2 linked regions of the Drosophila melanogaster genome follow. The protein of the gene in region 2 purifies or fractionates together with the protein of the main gene of each other region. This does not show direct contact. Each region holds a gene or a part of one and is shown on either strand. Other genes may lie near its edges.

What was found.
Region 1: the proteins of CG3909 (region 2) and hyx purify together in Drosophila melanogaster (affinity purification with mass spectrometry, with the first as the bait; one large-scale study listed by BioGRID). This does not show direct contact.

The regions. Positions count from the first base shown.
Region 1 is NT_033777.3:9,036,650-9,042,873, reverse strand, and holds hyx (hyrax), read right to left. Parts: upstream 4,115-6,224; 5' UTR 3,952-4,114; intron 3,720-3,951; coding exon of another isoform or gene 3,695-3,719; exon of another isoform or gene 3,403-3,694; intron 3,204-3,402; 5' UTR 2,913-3,203; coding exon 2,782-2,912; intron 2,707-2,781; coding exon 1,563-2,706; intron 1,404-1,562; coding exon 1,241-1,403; intron 1,174-1,240; coding exon 1,032-1,173; intron 970-1,031; coding exon 933-969; 3' UTR 525-932; downstream 1-524. Other genes in the region: Nmdmc (NAD-dependent methylenetetrahydrofolate dehydrogenase), read left to right, coding at 1-22, 90-217.
Region 2 is NT_033777.3:10,041,536-10,045,419, reverse strand, and holds CG3909 (uncharacterized protein), read right to left. Parts: upstream 2,151-3,884; 5' UTR 2,074-2,150; coding exon 2,071-2,073; intron 2,018-2,070; coding exon 1,726-2,017; intron 1,655-1,725; coding exon 1,416-1,654; intron 1,359-1,415; coding exon 1,171-1,358; intron 1,117-1,170; coding exon 843-1,116; 3' UTR 814-842; downstream 1-813. Other genes in the region: CG11722 (uncharacterized protein), read left to right, coding at 5-149, 203-294, 361-607, 666-793.

The sequences.
Region 1 (6,224 bases), 1.0 Mb from region 2:
GTCGGAGACGTGGACTTTGAAGGTGTGTGGCTGATCTATTAAATCACTAAAGACCAACAAGATTGATTCATTTCCTCATCACTTTGCAGAAGTTCGCCAGGTCGCCGGCCACATCACTCCTGTGCCCGGCGGAGTTGGTCCCATGACGGTGGCCATGCTGATGCACAACACGCTGAAGGCAGCCAGGAAGCAGTTCGATGATCGCAAGTCCTCCTGAAGATTCACCAGTAACTATCGTGCTTCGCTGGCCGAGAAATAGTATTTTTATTTAATCCCCTAAACCTATATTAGATAGTAAAGTTACTGACCACAAGCTAACATGACATAAACCCACATATTTTGCTATATAAACAGAAATAATGAAATACTACTATTTCGTTTGATTTATGACTTTAACGATGGGAGGTATGAAAAAGTTCCAATATATGATCTTTGAAAAGGTTAAATAATTGAGAAAATATACTTGATGACAGCCAAATAAATTCCAATTATGTTACCTTCTGTTTGAATAACCGAAACAGAATGGCTTTTAACTGTTTATTATCACTAAAAATACAAAGGATACTTGCTCTCAGATGTTTGTGTTTTGTAGTTTACATTGTACAATTTGAACGAAAAACTTTATCTTAACTACTAACTGCGTATTTGGGCCTATTTGCACGATCGCAGGCCTGCGACTTATAATGCTGTTGCCAAAAGCGAGATAATCCTGGTCGGGCTCTAATCGGAAACTCGCACTGGAACTGGCCAAATGCCCCAGATTCGGCTTGGTGTCTTTCCTACGGAAGTTGGGCGCACACTGTAACATACTATTTGCGTCGTTTGTTGCATAATGTAGTACAGCCTGTCTATAATAATGGTAACTACTTGGGAGTGGGATTGAAAACAGCAGGTGTCGTGTTTCAGCAGAACGTTTAAGAATGCGGTGAGGGTTAATATCGTAAATCGGGCTTGTACTTGGCTATATATCTAAAAAGATTGCATTGTAAATCTTTTGTAACGAAATGGTGGATTTTTATATAAGCACTTACTTGTCCAAAGTTTCCCAAAATTTGCTGAGCACTGCCCGATCCATATGACGCTTGTTTTGCGATAGTCGGAGTAGCGTCACTGACCAGCGCTCCACGTTTGAGTCCAATTTCATTTCGCTAAAGCACAAATGAAAAGCGCAAACTGCAGTAGGTAAGAAAATGAGACTTAGTGAATTAAACTTAGAGAGCTGGGCATGATGTTAACTAACTTTTTGAGAATATATCGACGGGATTGCCTTCCCAAGGCCAGCCCTTGAACTGCCACTGGGGTCCCATAACGAAGACGGCCACCACCCGTTGCCACTCCTGTTGCGAGAGCTTGGTGGGATTATCTATCACCCGGTAAGACACAGTCTGATTGTTGCGTTTTCGCTATGTGTGAATAAAAGGGAAAATAAATTAGCACTGGTGTATGCCAACTCTTATCTTTAATATTTTAATAGGAAATTGAATACATCTTCGGAAACAAATGCTGTAAAACCTTTTGGTATATAAACCATTTGGAAGAGAATTCGTTACATTAAATCGCACCTGTAACAGCACTTCGCATTCGCGCTGGCAGCCCTGCAGCTTTTTATCCGAGGTGGACATGAAGCGCAGTTCCTGCAGGATATCCTTCGCGTTGAGCATGGTAATGAGGCTTGTGTTGGCAGACGGTATGATAATAATGGGGGTGCGAGATGTTCGCTTCGATGGACCATTGGCGGGCAGTTGCCGAGCTTGGGCCGCAGGTAGCAATTCCTTGGGCCGCCCGGCGGCTGCTCCCGCTATTACACCCGGTGCTCCCGGTAGGTTGTTAGCCTGCGCCTTACGCTGAGCCAGTGAGCCCTCCGTCACGGATTTCAGCGACATACCGTGGTATGTGCCGAGCGTGTCGATCTTAAAGCCCTCGGTCTCCTCCTTTTGCCGATTGAAGCGCTCCTGGTCGTAACGGTTGTATTGCGAGAGCTGCGGTTGTGGTTTGGCTATTCGAGCCGGCTCCGGCATCTTAATGGGATTGGGCACCTGTGGACGATTGCGTCCCTCCTCGCGCGCCTTGATGCCCTGAAGCATAGCAAAGATGTTCTTGGCAAAGATCTTGCCCGTGCTTTGCAGAATCGAAGTTCGCGTGCGCCACTGCCGTTCTCTGCTGATAATGTCCTTTGTGGAGTCCACATCATAGTCCAGGATGGCACGCAAATCAGTTCCCATGGCCTCGTCATTGTCCGTCCTTTTAATGGTCGTTCGCTTGTTGGCCAGACGCTTTGCCTTGATGGCGGCGATCTTCTCAACGGACATCGTCTCGGACAGCGACTTGATGTTGTCCATGTTGACAGCGGTCTCCTTCTGGTTGACATCCCATCGGGCGGCCAATTGCTCGCGCACCTTCTGCACTTGAGTCTCCTCGAAGCGGGCCTTCTTGGCAGCCACCTCAACGCTGGAAGGTTCACCCTCGGCGGCACGCTTCACCTGAGTGGGGATTTCCAGCGGGGCACTCTTGTCGATGCTGGCACACGTTGGCGTCTCGCCATTCAGATAGGCCAGGAGCTCTTTACGATCCGGCCGATTCACAGCGGGTATATCCTCGGCGGCGCACTGTCGCACGTAGACCGAGTGTTGCAGCATCACATTCTTGAGCAGGTACAGCAGGCACTCCAGCGTGTAGTACTCACGTGGAGCGCCCTTCTTACCGGATCTAATCGACGGGAGAAAAGTGTAAGAGTTAGTGGCTAATCCTAGTTGTCCCACAGGTCGTCCTGACCGCACTTACCCATATTTGAGATAGTTGGTCTTCACGCTCTTCGGCCAGGAGAACTCGCCGAAGATAATCTGGCTGTCTCGCTCGACAATCTCCTTTTTGTTTATGTTGTACTGCCGAAGCAGGCTGAGCGGATCTGCCATTTTTCTGCCGGTTTTCTGTGTGTTTTCGGGCGGCGGGCGTGTGTGGTCGGTGTCGCTCTGGAAGGCGCGCGGCGGCTACGCACTTTGTAATCCGCGAAAGATATATAAACAACTTCGATTCTCGCTTTTTATGGCATATTTTTAGTTTTTTGCCAGAGGTTGCGTGGAGTGTGACCGTAGGCGGGGTGAAAAATACCAAATATCATAGAGAGTGCATCGCTTCTCATTTGGTATAAATCGCTGAAGTTTCGTCTTTAAAAAATATCGCACTAAGTCACGGCTTTTCGTATCCTGTGATTTGTTAACAATTAGTTTTCTTAATGGCACGTTATACAACGACAACTCTTTAGAACACTTCACATCTTCAGGAATTGGCATCATTAATAAACGAAGTAAATGACTTTTCTAGCGCGTCTAGTGATTTGTTTATTTATAAATATTGTATGGTATATTCTTGTGTGGCAGATGGCAAAGCTGGACTGTCATGTTTAAATACTAACGCGGTCACACTAAAAAAAAGCCTTGCGACCGGCAGCTCCATCCAAATAACAATTAGGCAAAGCTTTAAAATGCATCGCATTTAACGCCTATGATTCCGGAAGTGAGCTAGCCTGCCAATAGCACACGATCGGCTCACGGTGCACATAATATCGAGCTTATGCGAGGGCTGGTCTACGTGAAAATTCAATGCCAAAGAAGCTGTGTGTGTCCTAGTTGTTGTGGCTGTTGTTTCTTGTGCCTTTCGGGAAGCGAAACACGCAATTTGTGATTTTAATTAAGCAATGGGTCAGTCGGCTGGTAAAATAGGTAAGTAAACAAGGCTTGATTTAACATGGGATGTCGCGTAAGGAGGATTTAGCTTGTCTGTCACCTTACAACAAATAAGCCGAATCGCCATAAGTTGGTAAAGTTTCTATTTAAAATGGAATCCTAAAGTTATAGTAAAGTGTATTACAGTTATAAGCCCCGCTTGAATATGAATTAAAAAACTATGGGCATTCCAATAGGTTTGTGACCTTCCCACCACCCACACACTCACATGTTGGCAAACAGCTGATCCCCCTTAGCGATGACACTCGCTGGTTTCGCGTTAGTGTCGATAGTTTTTGTTACTTGATTTTAATCTTACAGGTGTAAAACCTGATTTTAACTATAACATTATTTCTGTTGGGATTTAAAACCTAATATATGATATCTGTGATTTCAAAATATTTCCTATTAGGTTCCTTGAAAATATTTTAAAAGCTCGTGTGATTTTGAAGCTTTTCCATTCACATTCTATCCATATGAAATAAAAAGACCAAAACAAACGTTTAAACGTTTAGAAACTGGTGTAACGTTGTGATAATAAATTAAACTTTATTTATTAGAGGTCATCCCCAAAGAACTGACCATAAAAGCAAAAGATGTATAACCCATGCAAGTACACTTAAACAATTATTCCGAGCCCGCCTATAGAGATATCAAAGTAGTAAGCAGCTTAGGCTACCGAAAAGTCAAAAAAAATAAGGTGGTAAAAATTTAAAAAAGAAGATTTCTACAAATCCCGACATAAAATCAGCTCAGGAAAATAAGTCTGATTGTAGGACGCGAAGCTTGGCGCAATGGACATCGTATCCTTACAGGTGTATTTTACGGGGATTGCAGAACTGCACTTACCTGCTTAACACATCCACATCATCAGGGACTCCATCGAATCGTATCAGCTTCGATTAGACCCAAGATGCCCATGCAGCTGTGGACAATAAATTATAGAGTTTATGGCAATGATTTCTCACAAAACGGGCACAAGACGAAGGACGAAGGATCGCACAAAGGCGGAGGAGAGAATAAGTAAACCCCAATAGGCGCTCGGTTCAGGTAGGATCACCGAGTTGTAACTCCCTGACCCTGAGACAAAGACACATGCTGTGGGCTGGAAACCCGCCAGGAACTTCTTTCTATGACTTGCCAAATGTCCTGTTTGCATCGGAGTAACCGAAAAGATATCTTCCAAGCGCAGATCTCGCATTTTTCATGGGACAAGGGAGGTTTTCCATTTTACGGGCGGGAAAAAACTGCAATATGAAAACCGTGAAAGCCGAAACCCCCTGAAAAGGCAAACATTTGGCCAACAGAACGTATATTTCTCTAACGGAACGCAGTTTCCCCCGCATGTGTTGCATTGGCGGTTATTCCTCGGCGATGTTGATATTTGATTAGCGTACGCACGCGAGGATGCGGAAATGGGAAGTGGATGTGGAAGTTTAAGTTGCAGTTGGCAAATGGGATGCATTCTAGTTCCCTTTTGTTAGATCTTGATCGGAGTTTCGGGATGAAGCCAACTGCTGTCGCAGGTATCCTCAAAATATGGAGGAGTTCCTCTGAATAAGTCAGGTTTTTTGAAGAGAGTATATGGACGGCAAGCAACCCTCGGTATGGGAATCTTTAAGATCTACAAAGACCTTCTTCTTTAAAGCTATGTAGAAGATGTATAATACTATCTTGTCTGCAAAGAAGTATTAGAATTCTATTAGTAGTATCTTAGAATAGTTGTCAACGTGTAATTTTAACCATATCCTCAAACTCTGTTCTCCACAATATAATATGTACAAACATTCACTATACCCTCGATCCTTGCAGACTGGGAATACATATGGGAATACCTCCTCCACTATTGCTCTGTTTCTCAAGTGCTTGCGCAATTTTGGGTTCTGTTCTCCTGAATTCCCTTTTGTGTCCGCAGGATTAGTTCGGGTATTTATACATATGTATGTACATATATATGAAACACGACAACTGCTCCTCAAACGGCTCCTTCATTTTCCTTGGCCTGTCTGAAGTCCTTTCCCTTTTCTTTTCCTTCGAACAGCACTGCCTTTTCCCCATGACCCGTTTGCATATGTGTTTTCTAATTAAACATTGGCATTTGCTACAGTTTTTACTTAATTATGTGTATATTGATCGGCTATCGGCGATCGATGTGAAGAGCCGGGGAATTCTCAGCTGTCTTCCCATCGACAGCTGCCAATTTCTTGTATCTTTTCGTTTATTTTCTTGCACTTCGTCTTTTTTCATTAAATAAATCATACTATCAGTGCTGATCACTACAAACTACTTCCCCACACTTATCTTTGGCCCACTTGAGCTATTTCCTCTATTTAAATTAGTTTTGGCATTAGATTTCTCTATAAATATTGTTTAATTTCGATTTTGTTGAGTTGGAAACTATTTCGTTGTGTTTATAAATATATCTATGAGTTAAATTTATCTATTAACAGGCAAAGGTAGTAACTCGATCGTAATGGAGGTAGTTATGATAAGAGACCTATG
Region 2 (3,884 bases):
TGGCATGGGTCAGGTGGTTTCAATGGTTGCCCGCCGGGCCAATCGCTTCAATGTCGAGAATCGTGCACATCGCGTCCTCGAGCGCGAGAAGCCAACGCCGGCGCCCAAATTTGACTCGAATTTGAGAGACATGGAGCGCACCTTGGAATGTAAGTAAAATTAAACACCCTTGGAGTGTAATGCTTCATTTTCCCCATTACAGTGGATCCCAAGTTCGTGGACAAGCTCAATATGAAAGACTCCAGCTTGGACGGACGATTGAAAGACGTTTATGTAACCTCGCAGGATCGATTTGTGGGTTAATACCTTAGAAGGTACTTTCGACCAATACTAATATGGAACCTGCTATATGTTCCCTAGATCAAGCGAGTGCAGGAGCGCCAGGCAGCTGAGGCGGCGGCGGACAATGTGGAACAGCGACCACTGCCCCTGGAACGCAAAACGCCGGATGATTTTGAGTACGGATATCTGGAGCCCAACCGCATTAGCCCCGGTCATTGCACACTGCGCCAGGCGCTTAAGTTCATCAATGACCACCAGTTGGATCCTGAATCCTGGCCAGCCAAGAAGATAGCCAATGAGTACAAGCTTAAGGAGCCTCTAGTTGGTAAACCTAAAAGAAAATGTGTTCTCAGAATACCTCAGTCTAACTTTTCCCTTTTTAGAAAACATACTGCACTACTTTAAAACTTTTAATATGTACATACCCGACCAGAAGTACAAAGACACGATGCTAACTCAAGCCACGCAGCCCCTTCTGCGGGTTAAATCGAGCTCGGAGGGTAATCCGTAAATAAATCATTCTTGTTCTTTGTTTTAAACCTACGCTCTATTGTATGAAATCAAACAATGGCATTGGGCGGACAGTAGTATATGTTCAGGGACTTGTCCTCAGAAGCAGAGGCCACCTTGTCGTTTCCGGGGCTATATCGGACGCCCCACACCTGATCTGTGTGCTCGGCGAACGTGTGCAGGCACTTGCGTTCCGAGGTGTCCCATATTTTCACGCTGTTATCACTGGAGGAGCTGGCAAAGTGTTTGCCGTCCTCGGAGAATGCCACGCACAGCACCCAAGATGCGTGCCCAGATAGGGTGCCCACAACGTCGGAGTGGGTTCTAAAACGAGGAGATAGTAGTGCCTGAAAATGTCATAGGTGTTAAGCCACTTACACATCATAAAGCTTCATGTGACCATCATCTGAGGCAGTGAGCAGCAGCTGCGAGTTCGGAGAAAAGCAAAGGCTACGCACTGGCATCGCGTGTCCTTCCAATGTTTGCACTACCTTGCCCGCGGCCACATCGAAAATGGTAATGATACCATCGATGGCTCCACTGGCAATGTACTTGCCATCGGGACTCTAGAATAATACAGCTATAGGATTCTCAAAATGGGTTATTTACCAGATAAAGCTTACGTAGGCAATGCTAAGCGTGTATTTCCCATTTTGGGCATCCAATGTCTGCTCTGCCTTTCCGGTTTCCACACTGTACATGGAGATTTTGCCGTCGTTCAGTCCGGATATCACATATTTGTTGCAGGGTGAAAATTGCACCGTCCAGAGATCAACAGGCCCAAAGCTAAGTAGGTGTTTCTTGTCGCCCGAACGGGCATCCCACAAACACATGGTGGAGTCCAGAGAACTACTGGCAATGGCTGGAAGGAAGGCGGCACCATTAATTGATGTCCATTTCTCTATCTCCCAAGTACAGAATCTTTCAACCTACTCTGTCCATCGGAACTGACGGCCACAGAAACAACTCCCAGGGCATGTCCTTTTAGTTTGTGGCGCAACTTTAGGGTGTTGTCCTCCTGCAAGTCCCACACCTTTACCAAGTCATCCAGTCCGCCGGTGACCAAGAAATCCTTCGGGCGGGCCTCCTTCTTATCGAAATCAAAGGGATTCTCCTCGGGCTCCACGACCGCGTCATCCGGATCTGAGGCCGCAGTGTCGCGTCCCCAGGTGCACGCCCATAGCTGACTGTCGTGCGCATTTTCCTCTTTATGAAGGACAGAAAACTAGCGGAAAAAAGGGATGTATAAAAGGCACAGTTCGTTAAATATCTACTTACCATTTTAAAATGCCGGAAAAGTGTTTATTTTATGCGAACGAGAGCGATCAGCAAATTAGCTGTTATCGATAACAATGGTTGACGTTAGAATTAGTATTGAAAAGGGAGGTTTACAGTGGGTCAAAACTGTTATGCTGAATATGTTTCAATGTGAATAAATTAAACATGGAATTCTTTATATAAATGAAAGAAATAAAGAAGTATAAAACAAATTGACGTTTTTAAAATTTTTTCACAGGTAATATTATATATAACAAAATAATATTTTACTTTATTATATCTTTATTATACTTATTTAGGTAAAAAGCTTAGTTTTTAAGTAAACATGTTATATATTAAATTATTTGAATTGCTATTTATTGTTTTGGTATATTTGCCCATATGGCACACGGCATAATACCACTTTCCCGCCATGGTCACACCATCGGCTTATAGTTGCACTCCCGGCGCGGCCACACTGTTTATAGCCGTCGAGAACCGAGGAACGAACGTCGCGTTTTAAAAAACAAATCCCCAAACGACTCGGACGCGAGATCCAAGCGACTGGCGAGGAAAAGTGTAAGTGACGGGTGCAATTACGTGCCCCACGGTGCAGCCATGCCCGGATCTACCAGTGCGGTTATATAATGCGGATATAGTTATAGTTCTTAGCCCCTCGCGATACGATATCAAAAACAAAGGAACGAATAGGACCAACGCGTGTGTTCTGCTTTTCAGTTTTCGGTTCGTTTTCGATTTTTTTTCATTTTGCTGTCGTCGCCGCCGTGAATTCGAATATGTATGATTTTCTTCTATGGATCCGCGTGTCTGGAATATATTAATAAACATAAACAGTGAAGCCTCGTTCGTTCGTGTGTGTGGGGGCGGGTGTGCGTGAGCGTGAGTGCGAGTGTGTGTGTGGTTGTGCATCAGCATATTATTTATCTCACATATCATATCTTTCGACAAAATCGAAAAGATTCGAATGATTCATTCTTGTGGCAGCAGGACTCGCCGATTTGTGCACTAAACCGAAATGAAAGGCATATAGTTTTGCTGCACTTTCCATGTGTTTTTCGTGGTGTGTTTGTTTTATTGATTCCCACTTTCCCGTTCCCCGTTCTCCGTTTTCCGCCCAGTTTCCACTTCTTCCCCTCCGTACAACATTCATATTCGCGCCTGCCCCCACAACTTCGTTTCCGATTTGGTGTAAACAATAACGGCAACCGGTTTTCGCGTGCAACTTTATCTCCCTAATATCGCCATTCCTCTTATTCTTCTTCTCTTCCTCTGCTCACTTTTGTTTCGATTATAATCGCAATTTGCCGTTTTCAAAATGATATATGCAAACCCTTTCGAATAAATCAAACAGTTCCAACTGAATTTGTAAATTATCAAGGTGAGTCGCCAGCCGGGGATCAATAATGCTATATTATAAGATGAAGTGGAAGATTTGCATGTTTATGTAATCTTATCGGTATTTTATGTTAATTTTCTCACACATGTTGGGATTCATATATCTTAAGAGAGGTGTATTCATTTCATAAAACATTCTTTACTTGAGATTTGGTATATGAAAGTTAGTTATTCGTTTATTTTAACAATACTACAGGCAAACGATGTCTTCTAGGGTATGAAATGGTCCTATAGAAAGAAAGGTAGTTAGGTAGTAGTAGTGACGCTTAAAGATCCGTAAAGTTAAATGACTCTAAATCCCACAGCTTTGCTCCACTTCCATTCGTAATTCCAAAGCAAACCCATCACGGTTGCTCTTAGCCTTCGCACTAATGTGACTGGAGGATAAGAATAAATGTTTGCCCTTAAGAGGTGCTCAA